Danio rerio: one gene and its partners. The protein of the gene in region 2 binds, or shares a complex with, the protein of the main gene of each other region. Links are inferred from orthologs where the notes say so. Each region holds a gene or a part of one and is shown on either strand. Other genes may lie near its edges.

Region 1 (3,662 bases), on a different chromosome or scaffold from region 2:
AAATGTTTTTGGAAGACAATCACCTACTGCACCTTTAAGTGCGGGATTCAACTTTAATTTTATTTCAGCTATATATTTTATAAAAGCAAATTAATTAAACTAAAAAGTAACTCAAATAATATTACTTAATTTTTTTAAGTAATGTGTTACTTTACTTGTTACTTAGAAAAATAATATTGTTACATAACTTAATTATAATGCGTTAATTATAATGTGTTACCCCCAACACTGACTGTCAGGATGTTTGTGTGCTTTTTTATACAGTTTCTATTTTAATTTGCAGTTTAAATTGACATGCAAAGTAAAAGTATTAATGGCAGATTTCCTTACAAGCAAATATTAATCCGACACCAAACATAAAAGCAGACACTATAACATCATCACCAGTGACTAAATCTCCAAAAGAAAGATCATCAGGGAATTGTAGCTCTGACAGGTACATGAAATTACTGAAAAACTGCTGCGAGTTAAGTATATTGAAGTATCGCAAGTGCTGAGTTTGCGATCATATCTCTGTTTTGTTCTGTTGTGATCCAAAATTCATAGCTTAAAACAAATGGAAATATGACTGGATTGTGCTGCTTTTACGTCCTCCCACACATCTTGATCCATGCTTGGCATTTCTCCCCTTGGGTTTTAAGTTTTGAAAAGGGAATAAAAAATCTACCACCTCATTCAAACTTTTAGGATACCGGTTATGCTAAACACACGGCCCTCCCACGCCTAGCTACGGTTGCTAAGCCATGATTATGGTGTGTGATAGTTTTTGATTGTAGCTTAGGGTCAGTAACAACAACAAATCAACAAATTATCAGTGATTATTACTGCTTTTAAATTTTACTAGATTTATTTATTTATGTTGTAACCTCAAATTATAACCCATCCCCCCCCCCCGTTCTCTGATGCATATTTATTTTGCTATTTAATTATTTTTTTAAATTTGGTAACTTTATTTTTGTTGTGATTTTTTTTCTGATTAGGTGTGTTGTCACATCAGATCATTATCTAATTTTTGCTCCTTCTTATGTATCTTCCTTCGTCATACCAATCACTAGCATGTCCTTAATCCGCACATTTCCTGTTGTCTTTCCCTTCACCTCCTGCCTGGTGGATCCATTCTCAACTATGTTTTTGTTCTAACCAGGCTAGGCTGCATTTTTTCCCCAAAAATACATTAACAGTAATAAAAATGTTTCTTCCAAAATATTTACATTTTTCTTGCAAATATATTATGAAGTTCTGTAAAAAATCTGAATTTTTATCAGCTATTACTCCAGCCGGGTACATAATCTTTAAGTAATTCAAATAAGCTGATTGGCCCCCTCAAGAAAAACTTTCTATTATTTAACGCTGAAAACAGTTTTATCACTTTTCAGCAAATATACATTAAATTGAAATTTTGTAATGAAATTACAAATGTTCTGTTTGTCAAAGAATCCTAATAAAACATCTAAAATTATAAATCATAATTAATGCAATCCACTAATCCACTGTTTAAGTGAGACCATAATGTTAATTATTTGCTGCCCTGTTACAAAACTAAAGTTAAACAAGAGAAGCCTACTGTAATAGAGATATTGCGATTTGGTCTGAGGACTGTAAAGAGAGACTGAAAGGCGTTATGATGATACAGATTGGGACATCTTTTTTGATAATTGTGCAAATGTGAATGAGATAACAGAAACAATAACATCTTATGTTATTTTTCTGTGAGAATAATGTTGTACAACTAAAACTGTTAAAATATACCCTAATAACTAGGTTTGGGTCTTGCATGAAATTACAAATGTATAAGTAAGAAAAGGGCTGCTTTTGCACAAGGTAATATGACGCTTACTGAAGAGGAAAAAAATGAACTCATATTGATTATTTTAAAAATCCAGAGCACAATATAGAGAATGGAGAAACACTTTGTCACTGGTGATGCTCGTAAAGCATGGAGCAGTCTAAATAGTATGATAGGCAGAGAGACACTGAAGCAACACTGCTTATATAGAATATCTGTCATCCAGAAATTAATCAAATATTTTTTTTTATAGTAGATTTGATAAAAGCACACATGCAGGTAGATTTGACGGAGTGGTTAGCCATGTTAAGATTATTATTTCTCTTACAGAAGTGGAGATATAACTTGTTGTCATTCACATGTTATTAAGCACCTGACCTGAATGGTCTCAAAGGACAGGCAATAGCAGGGTGCATTTACCAATAGAAAGAGGTTTTCACATTAGATTATTAATAGATTATTTCCGGTCTTGCTTGATGCACATACAGTCAACACATACCACAGTTTACTGAGGTAAAAACTAAAGTATACTAAAGCCTTTATCCCTATAGTTAAACTATAGTCATTTACATAGAGTTGAAATTACCTTTAAATATAACATAATACACTTTACTGTAGCATGGTTCAAAAAGGCCATAGTATTTACCAGAAAAAAATTTATTTTTATTTTATTTCATGTAGGTAAGAATCACATCACACCAGAGACTGGAATATGGCTGGAATGGCTGCTTTGCATAACAAGAAAACATAACAATTAAATTAATAAAAATAGTTTAAAACTGTTATATTAACTAATTCATTTTGAAAATATTATTGTTTCTACTCTTATGACTGATAAAATGAATGCAGCTTTGATCAGTGGAAGGGATCGATTTCAAAGTGATTTACACAATGTGTTCTGTTCATAAAGAAATGAATGCATGTGTCATGGTGTATAAATTGCATGTAATTTTGTTTTATCTTTTTAGATCACACGTCGGTATGCTGAATTCTCCTCTGCTATTGTTAGCATAAATCAAACATTTCCTAATGAGAGGACCAACACACTTCTTGGGCAGTTGCAGGTGAGCAAAAAAGCAATGCTCTGCCCTTAAAAGGTAAAGTAGCGCATGTTGAAAACTGTTTAATATGGATCTAATTTTCAGATTGAGGTGGAGAACTTTGTGCTGAAAATGGCGGCTGAGTTTCCCTCTAGACGAGACCAGCTAATTTTCCTGATAAACAACTATGACATGATGCTCAGCGTGCTTATGGTAATGTTTCTTACAAATCACGCCACACCATTTATTAAACGTTCTGTAGTTCTGTAGGTTATAATACTATGTTTATGTATGTGTTTATGAAGGAGAGAGCAGCTGATGACAGTAAAGAGGTTGAGAGCTTTCAGCAGCTTTTGCTGGCGAGAACACAGGTACATCATGGGGTACTGAGTATCAGCTCATATTGGACCTGTCTTGTGGAACTGAAATGTGTAATGTGCATAACAATTGTGTATTGGTGTGTTATAGGAATTTATAGAGGAGATTCTTTCTCCTCCATTTGGAGGTATGATTGCGTTTGTGAAGGAGAGTGAGGCACTAATGGAGAAAGGGCAGCTTGACAAACTCAAAAATGATGAAGGTCAGAGCTGTTTTCATTAAGATTTCAATTTCATGTCATTCCAAACCATTAAGGCTTCTGTTCATCTAGGGCTGGGCGATAATTCGATATCGATAATTATCACAATATAAAATTTTTCGATATGACGATATTGACAGTTTGATAATTGCTCGATAATATTTACGCACTATGCGTAACATTGCGCAAGCATTTTGCAGCCTGCCCTTCCGGATGCTGCACGCCGTACAAGTTTACAGCCATACATTGTTAGTTGTAC
Region 2 (3,662 bases):
AGCAAAAAACAACAACAGCAATATTAACAATTAAATATTAATTCATCCCAAAAAGCACCTTGCTGTTCATTAAGCCTAAGCAAAGACAAAAATCCACCAACATTTTAGTCAAACTGAGGGTGAGTAAATGAACAGCAATTAGATTCAATGAGCTATTTAAAGTGAACGACAGAGTTTTAATTATGCTTGGAAAAATTTAGTTTTTTTGGAATATTTCTGAATAATTCAAAGTAATTGAATTAAATAATTACAAAGTTTTACACAGAAAGTTTGTCTTCAAATGAACATTATATAAGATTGTGATGTTAAGTCAGCAATATTTGTGAAGTGACAGTGCACCTGGGAGTGTAGCTTGGTGCGTAGCGGATCTGCTGTCTTGAGCTGCTGTACACAGAGAAGGTGCGTTTGCTGGAGTCACTGCTGTGGGCTTTCCTTACTCCCTCTTCATAAAGCAATCCCACCTATTGAACAGAAAAATAAAAAACATGGTGTATTATGGCTTATAAATGTGCATTCTCTGCACACATTTAATATTTGAATTAAGGAACAGATATTAAGTCCATCACCTGTACATCAATAGAAGTGGTATCTTCCACCACCCTCTTCATTACAGCCCGAACATTTCTAGGTTCAATAGTGTTCACCCAGTCTCTCGTTTCCACGCTCTTCCTCAGCATCTGACTGATGATTAATCCCTGAACCTGGATCAAAACCACACCAGGTCAACAAAAACATCATCAATTATGGTAAAAATGTTGTAATCCCAATAATTAATGGCCCATATGACTAAAACACAATATATGAGTGATTTTCATATATATATATATATATATATATATATATATATATATATATATATATATACAGTTGAAGCCAGAATTATTAGCCCCCCCCTGAATTATTAGCCCGTTTATTTTTTCCCCATTTTCTGTTTAACAGAGAGATTTTTTTTCTACACATTTCTAAACATAATAGTTTTAATAACTCATTTCTAATAACAGATTTATTTTATCTTAGCCATGATGACAGTAAATAATTTTTGACAAGATATTTTTCAAGACACTTCTGTACAGCTTAAAGTGACATTTAAAGGCTTCACTAGGTTAATTAGCTTAACTAGGCAGGTTAGGATAATTAGGCAAGTCATTGTATAACGATGGTTTGTTCTGTAGACTATCAAGAAAAAATATAGCTTAAAGGGGCTAATAACTTTGTCCCTTAAATGGTGTTTATAAAATTAAAAACTGCTTTTATTTTAACCGAAATAAAACAAATAAGACTTTCTCCAAAAGAAAAAGTATTATCAGACATGCTGTGAAATTTCTTTGCTCTGTTAAACGTCATTTGGAAAAAATAAAAAAAAAGAAGAAAAAAAAATATCGAAGGGGGCTAATAATTCTACACACGCATGTACGCACACGCACACACACACACACACACACACAGTTGAAGTCCAAACTATTTGCAATTATAAGACAAATACAGTAGAATAAAAAAATAAAATCTCAGCTTTTTTATGCAATTCTAAAGTATTCCGTTAAGAGTAATGCAATGGTTTTTTATGCCATGTCAGCAACCAAGGCTATTTTCATGCAAGAACATTTCAATAATAAATATGCAATTAAAATCAAAATAAGATTTTTAGTGCTGATACATGATAAAAATTCTACAATTTTTCCTGATGCCACTTCACTAAAAATGTACAAAACCCTTTAACTGCCCCAGCAAGAAAAAAGATGTTTGGATGGCATTTCTTAACTCTTAATGTTACTAGTTAACAAACTCAATGCATTTTTTCAACACATCCCATAATTTCTAAAATATCAGCCTCTACCAAATGGTTTATATGTCGGTTTATAGTAAAAGGTCCAAAATTAATATACAGTTGAAGTCAGATTTATTACAAATTTATTATTAAAAAAAAAAAAAACTTGGTGACAACTTTATTATTTTAAAGGCAAGGTTGACATTTGCATGGAATTTCTCAATCCAAACATCGAGTGTCTAAAAACTGAGATTTCAGGTTGTATTTCATACAATTTATAATTTTCAATGCATCCCACTCCTCTTGCCACTTATTTAAAATGTTTTTTAGTTTCTTTATACATAATCATTGAAGGCAGAAATCGAAACAGTTTGTTGATTACTTGCACAGCCCAAAATTATTGACTCATGACATCTGAATCTATTCTCTTATTTACCTTCACATAGTGGTTCAGTAATTTCTGAGCAGCTTCTCTGGCCTCTGCACAAAGTGCTGTAACTGGGGTGACTGGAGTGTGGTGCTGTTTAAAAAGAAAACAGCAGCATGATTATATGCATTTAGAGTTTGATTTATCCTGAATATAACAGATATGGGATACCTGTACAAGAAACTGTTCATCTGTGAGCGTGAGGATGTAGGAGATGGTGGAGGTCTCGTAGTCCAGACAGAGACGAGAGAGCAGCAGGAGGAGAGCAGGAGGTGTGGATCCTCCTCTGTCGCCTGCGCTCTCACAATACTGCCGAGAAGACTGGCAGATGAACTTAATAAAGCTCACCACCAGACCCTCACGAACACCCTGACTGCAAAACTCACCCTGAGAAAACATAGGAGACTGGTATTAGACAAAAAACATGGCTATGGTTGAACTTGTCTCATTATCCATCATTTTAAAATATAAAATTAGTTTTTTTATGCAATTGAAATGGAGAAACGCTTGCTGACATTTGTGGTTCTTGCTATACCAGAAATGGCCAATGGTCATGTAAAAAATAAATTAACAATATAGTAAATGAAGGCGAGGCAGTGGCGCGGTATTTAGTGCTGTCGCCACACAGCAAGAAGGTCGCTGGGTCGAACCTCGGCTCCGTTGGTGTTTCTGTGAGGAGTTTGCATGTTCTCCCTGCCTTCGCGTGGGTTTCCGCCGGGTGCTCCGGTTTCCCCCACCGTCCAAATACATGCTGTACAGGTGAATTGGGTAGGCTAAATTGGCCGTAGTGTATGAGTGTGTGAATGTGAGTGTGGATGTTTCCCAGAGATGGGTTGCGGCTGGAAGGGCATCCACTGCGTAAAAACTTGCTGGATAAATTGGCGGTTTATTCCGCTGTGGCGACCCCGGATTAATAAAGGGACTAAGCCGACAAGAAAATGAATGAATGAATGAATATAGTAAATGAAAGAAAAACAGAAATAAAGTCTACAAAACAGAAACGAATAAATATTCATTGCTAATTTTTAAACATAAGTCCGAAAATCTTCTTAATATATTAAAAGTAATTGTCTAAATATTACTAGCCAGCTGGGAAAGGCATAAATAAAAAAAGTGAATAAATAAAGTTTAATGCTCTCATACGAATAAACTCTAGATTATGTAAAACTAACTATGTCTGAGAATTCTCTTATAAGCAACAGATGAAGACGGCCCTAAGTATTATTACTCAAATGCAATATTAATTTAAATAAAAACAATCTGCATATGATTAAAAACTGTTAAGCTGTGTCCGAAATTGCCTACTACTCGAGTAGGGACTACATTTAAATTTGAATTTACCACACGACCATTAGAAAAGTATGTATTATATAGTATGAATGTGAGAAGTGTCAATGGAACTCGGATGTACTACATCCCCCATTTGTCATTATCACATGACCTACTCGCATCATTTGTGTCACTTCACTC
Region 3 (3,393 bases), on a different chromosome or scaffold from region 2:
TGAAAAGTCATCTGAAATAAAAACTAATTGCAATATAACACTAAGAAACCATGACCCTTTTGATCATGCTCATTGAGCAAGCTCATACACGACACACAAAAACTGAAATGAATGAGGAGGCATGGGGACATAGTCTAAAATTTAAATAGTATTTTATGCATATAAAATTTATTTTCGCAACATCAAAATTTTGGCTAGTGAATATGCAGAGTGGCTAATAATGTTGGAAAACTACTAGCCACAGTGGCCGGTGATCAAAAAAGATCATTTCAAGCCTTGCATATAGCAATTCAAAACGCATTTACTCTGCTTTCAGATGATGTATAAGTGACTAGTACTGTGGGTCACATTTTAGAAAAAAGTGAAATAGTGTGTCAGACAGGATGTCAAAAATGAAAATCTGATGTTTCAGCTCAATGACTTCTGAATGTATTTTGAGAATGATTTGAAGTGCAGTATTAACCATGCAAGAGTGAAATGAAGCGTATGTGCTGTATTACTCACCGCTGGTCATGTGAGAAACTTTAGCCAGTTTCTTCATGACGTTGTCCAGTCTGGATTGAGTGCTGTCCATCTCATGTGAAAAGTCATCCAGCATTCTGAAAACAGTCCAGACACACAGTCCATTCAAGAAAAGGTCTGTTAACTCAACCGCAATGACTAGACAAATCTGTCAGGGTTCAGCCAGAACAGCTCAGTTTTGTTCATTTTAAAAGGTTGTGTTCAGGTTTTTAACAACAAGAATAGTTTACTGTATTCATGTAAAGTCTAAAATATCATTACTATAGCTCTGCTATATAAATGAAGTATAAGTCATTTTTACACAGCATATATTTTATATAAGATTATATTCAAGTCATTTTTGCTTTTTACAGAATATGCAGAAATTTTTTGTTGCTATTTCAGCATAAAATATTTTGTAAAAAAAATAAATAAATCTTTGGATTAATGGAGAATGATAACTAAAAACCTAAATCATAAAATAAAAAATGTTTTTTAACTTTTATTTTTAGCCAATTAGATCCACTTGTTTGGTTATTGTAAATAAATCATATAAACATTTGCATATAATACAATAACATTACTAAAATATAAAATATAATATAAAAACAATAAATACATTTTACATATTCACATAAAATCAAAAAGACTTGGTGAGCTAAAAAGATCTGCGAAATTCTATATATTAAATCGTTTATATGAATTATTGAAATAAACATTTACTATTTTAAACAATATACAAGTAAAAATAAAAAAATGTGATAAAAATGACCTATCAAAAATTTTTATATACTAGATTTTCTCAAATATTGCATATTTTGTAAACCATAGAAATGTAATGTTTAATTCCTAAATAAAAGTATATATAAATAGAGAGAGAGGGAGATACACACACACACACTAAACATTATAAATAAAAATACTATATATATTTATTTATTTATTTATCCATATATACTGTGAAGAGTATGTAATACTTTACATATCACAGTTACATTAAACACTGTTCTTTAGAAATCATTTTTCATTTATATATAATATACAAATATAATTTTAACAATATTTCAAATAAGATTATATATTAATATATAAATTCCTGCTTCATCAATATTAATATAACTCACACAGCTTGCTCATCCAGCTCCTGTCCGATTCTCTGAGACATGTTCTTCAATACACCAATAGTTCCTGACACCAACTCCAAATGCTCATCCTGCTTTTCTGCTATGAGCTGCCATGTGAACACACAATTACAAACAGTTTACTCTCTTGATAAATGCTCATCAATATTGCCAAAAATGCTAATTGTGCACTAATAACCAGTTTATAGTGTTGTGAACCGCTTTATTGAGTACCTGTTGCTGCGTCTGTTGTTCTTCAATGAACTGTGAATTTGCCGTCTGCAGCTCATTGTCAAGTCTAGTGTACTTTTCACCACTCGGTTGCCAGATTGGGCCCCGGGATCCACCTTCGCCCATTAAAGTCTGATAAGGGAACATAAATTGTCAATTTAAAAATACAACAAAAACGGTCAGAGCTAAATCCGGTTTTAATATCAAACCTGTCGATTTTTCTTCTCAGGCACTGTAATGGCCATCGGACTGGTCATGTGGTCTTTCATCTCCTGCAAAATAAATTAATCTATTATAAATGCCGGTGTACTATGGACTTATTTTTGTTTCTTTATTATTCAATCAAAATATTTAGTTTTAGGGAATAATGTAATACACCAATAAAAAAGTAAAAGATTGCAAATAAATTAAAAACGTTTAATTAAAAAACTTGTAAATGATGATAAAATATTTTGGATTGAAAAACATACACTATTGACTTATTATGCAGTTACCACACTTTCCATTGCACACTTATTCATTGTGCTCTCTGATCTGCTGTCATGTATTGCACATCTAGAATCTTTTCTTGTTTATTGTTTATTAACGTTCTTGTTTAAAATGTTTATTTACTTTTATTTTTTAATCACTGTGTATTTAATTTTTCCCTAAAACTAAATATTTTTGATTGAATAATAAAGAAACAAAATAACTCCATAGTGTCCAGGCCTATAATATTAAGGACAAACACCATGATGATGTTTTTTTTTTTATTCTAAATGTTTTTTATTTTATTTTATTTTTTTAAATCAACCCACAATCATGACTAATAGCAATGATAAACTTCACGATCACTTTATTTCCAGCATTTTTATCAGAATATATCCTGCTTTGAAAACTGCTATTCTTAATAAGTGAACTGCAGTCAATAACTTTTAATTAAAAAATTATTTATTCTTAGATTGAATTCATTCTTCACATACATGAAAGGAATACGAACAACAAAATAAACGCCAAAAGAAAAAAAAAACATTGAGAAAACAGTCATCAAGAGGGCATCTGATAATAGCAATGTATATATATTTGCAGTTCATGTCGCCAGATGAGGTCATTAAAATTATGATTGTATATTATAAGTATATATAATTGTCAAATGAGATTTTTCCAACCAAAACATTCTACGTCTGTAGAGTTAAAATGAATCTACAGGCTTTCATAGACACAGAAACATTTATTTTGGGTTTGACCGTTGACCTTTATGTCCATTCAAATTTAAAATCCAAATCCATACCAAGATTTTTAAATGAAAAGTACATTTTAGTTTTTATCATAGGCTTAGACGTCATAATAAAAATATAACCTGTTCTTTATTTTGACTTAAAACATGAGGCTTTACTGTGGATGCTAAAACATTAGTTGTAAATGTGCTTTCAGTCGGTCAGATCAGCTCACCCTGACTGTCTGCCGTGTGCTAGTGATGAAGGCTTTCCTCTTGGCCAGTTCCATTGCGTCGAGATTGAACTTCTTCGGATTGGCCTCCACAATACTTAAACACAAGGTT

What was found.
Region 1: vps51 (region 2) and vps52 share a complex: the UniProt entries of both Homo sapiens proteins name them as parts of the endosome-associated retrograde protein (EARP) complex. The link is inferred for Danio rerio from reciprocal best matches to the Homo sapiens genes VPS51 and VPS52.
Region 3: the proteins of vps51 (region 2) and stx6 are in contact, whole or in part, in a crystal structure (PDB 4J2C), measured with the Homo sapiens proteins. The link is inferred for Danio rerio from reciprocal best matches to the Homo sapiens genes VPS51 and STX6. Residues at the interface, in NP_037397.2 of Homo sapiens: Ala33, His34, Met36, Leu37, Leu39, Tyr40, Tyr41, Gly42, Leu43; in NP_005810.1 of Homo sapiens: Met3, Glu4, Asp5, Pro6, Phe7, Val9, Val10, Glu13, Trp59, Asp60, Asp63, Leu64, Glu66, Thr67, Ile70, Val71, Phe78, Arg88.

The regions. Positions count from the first base shown.
Region 1 is NC_133194.1:20,892,816-20,896,477, forward strand, and holds part of vps52 (vacuolar protein sorting-associated protein 52 homolog), read left to right. Parts: intron 1-2,754; coding exon 2,755-2,850; intron 2,851-2,931; coding exon 2,932-3,039; intron 3,040-3,131; coding exon 3,132-3,197; intron 3,198-3,294; coding exon 3,295-3,406; intron 3,407-3,662. UniProt on the Homo sapiens protein: Acts as a component of the GARP complex that is involved in retrograde transport from early and late endosomes to the trans-Golgi network (TGN).
Region 2 is NC_133185.1:31,886,212-31,889,873, reverse strand, and holds part of vps51 (vacuolar protein sorting-associated protein 51 homolog), read right to left. Parts: intron 2,580-3,662; coding exon 2,364-2,579; intron 2,286-2,363; coding exon 2,202-2,285; intron 702-2,201; coding exon 567-701; intron 462-566; coding exon 340-461; intron 1-339. UniProt on the Homo sapiens protein: Acts as a component of the GARP complex that is involved in retrograde transport from early and late endosomes to the trans-Golgi network (TGN).
Region 3 is NC_133197.1:16,192,668-16,196,060, forward strand, and holds part of stx6 (syntaxin-6), read right to left. Parts: intron 3,380-3,393; coding exon 3,285-3,379; intron 2,126-3,284; coding exon 2,063-2,125; intron 1,986-2,062; coding exon 1,857-1,985; intron 1,733-1,856; coding exon 1,626-1,732; intron 600-1,625; coding exon 505-599; intron 1-504. UniProt on the Homo sapiens protein: SNARE promoting movement of transport vesicles to target membranes. Targets endosomes to the trans-Golgi network, and may therefore function in retrograde trafficking.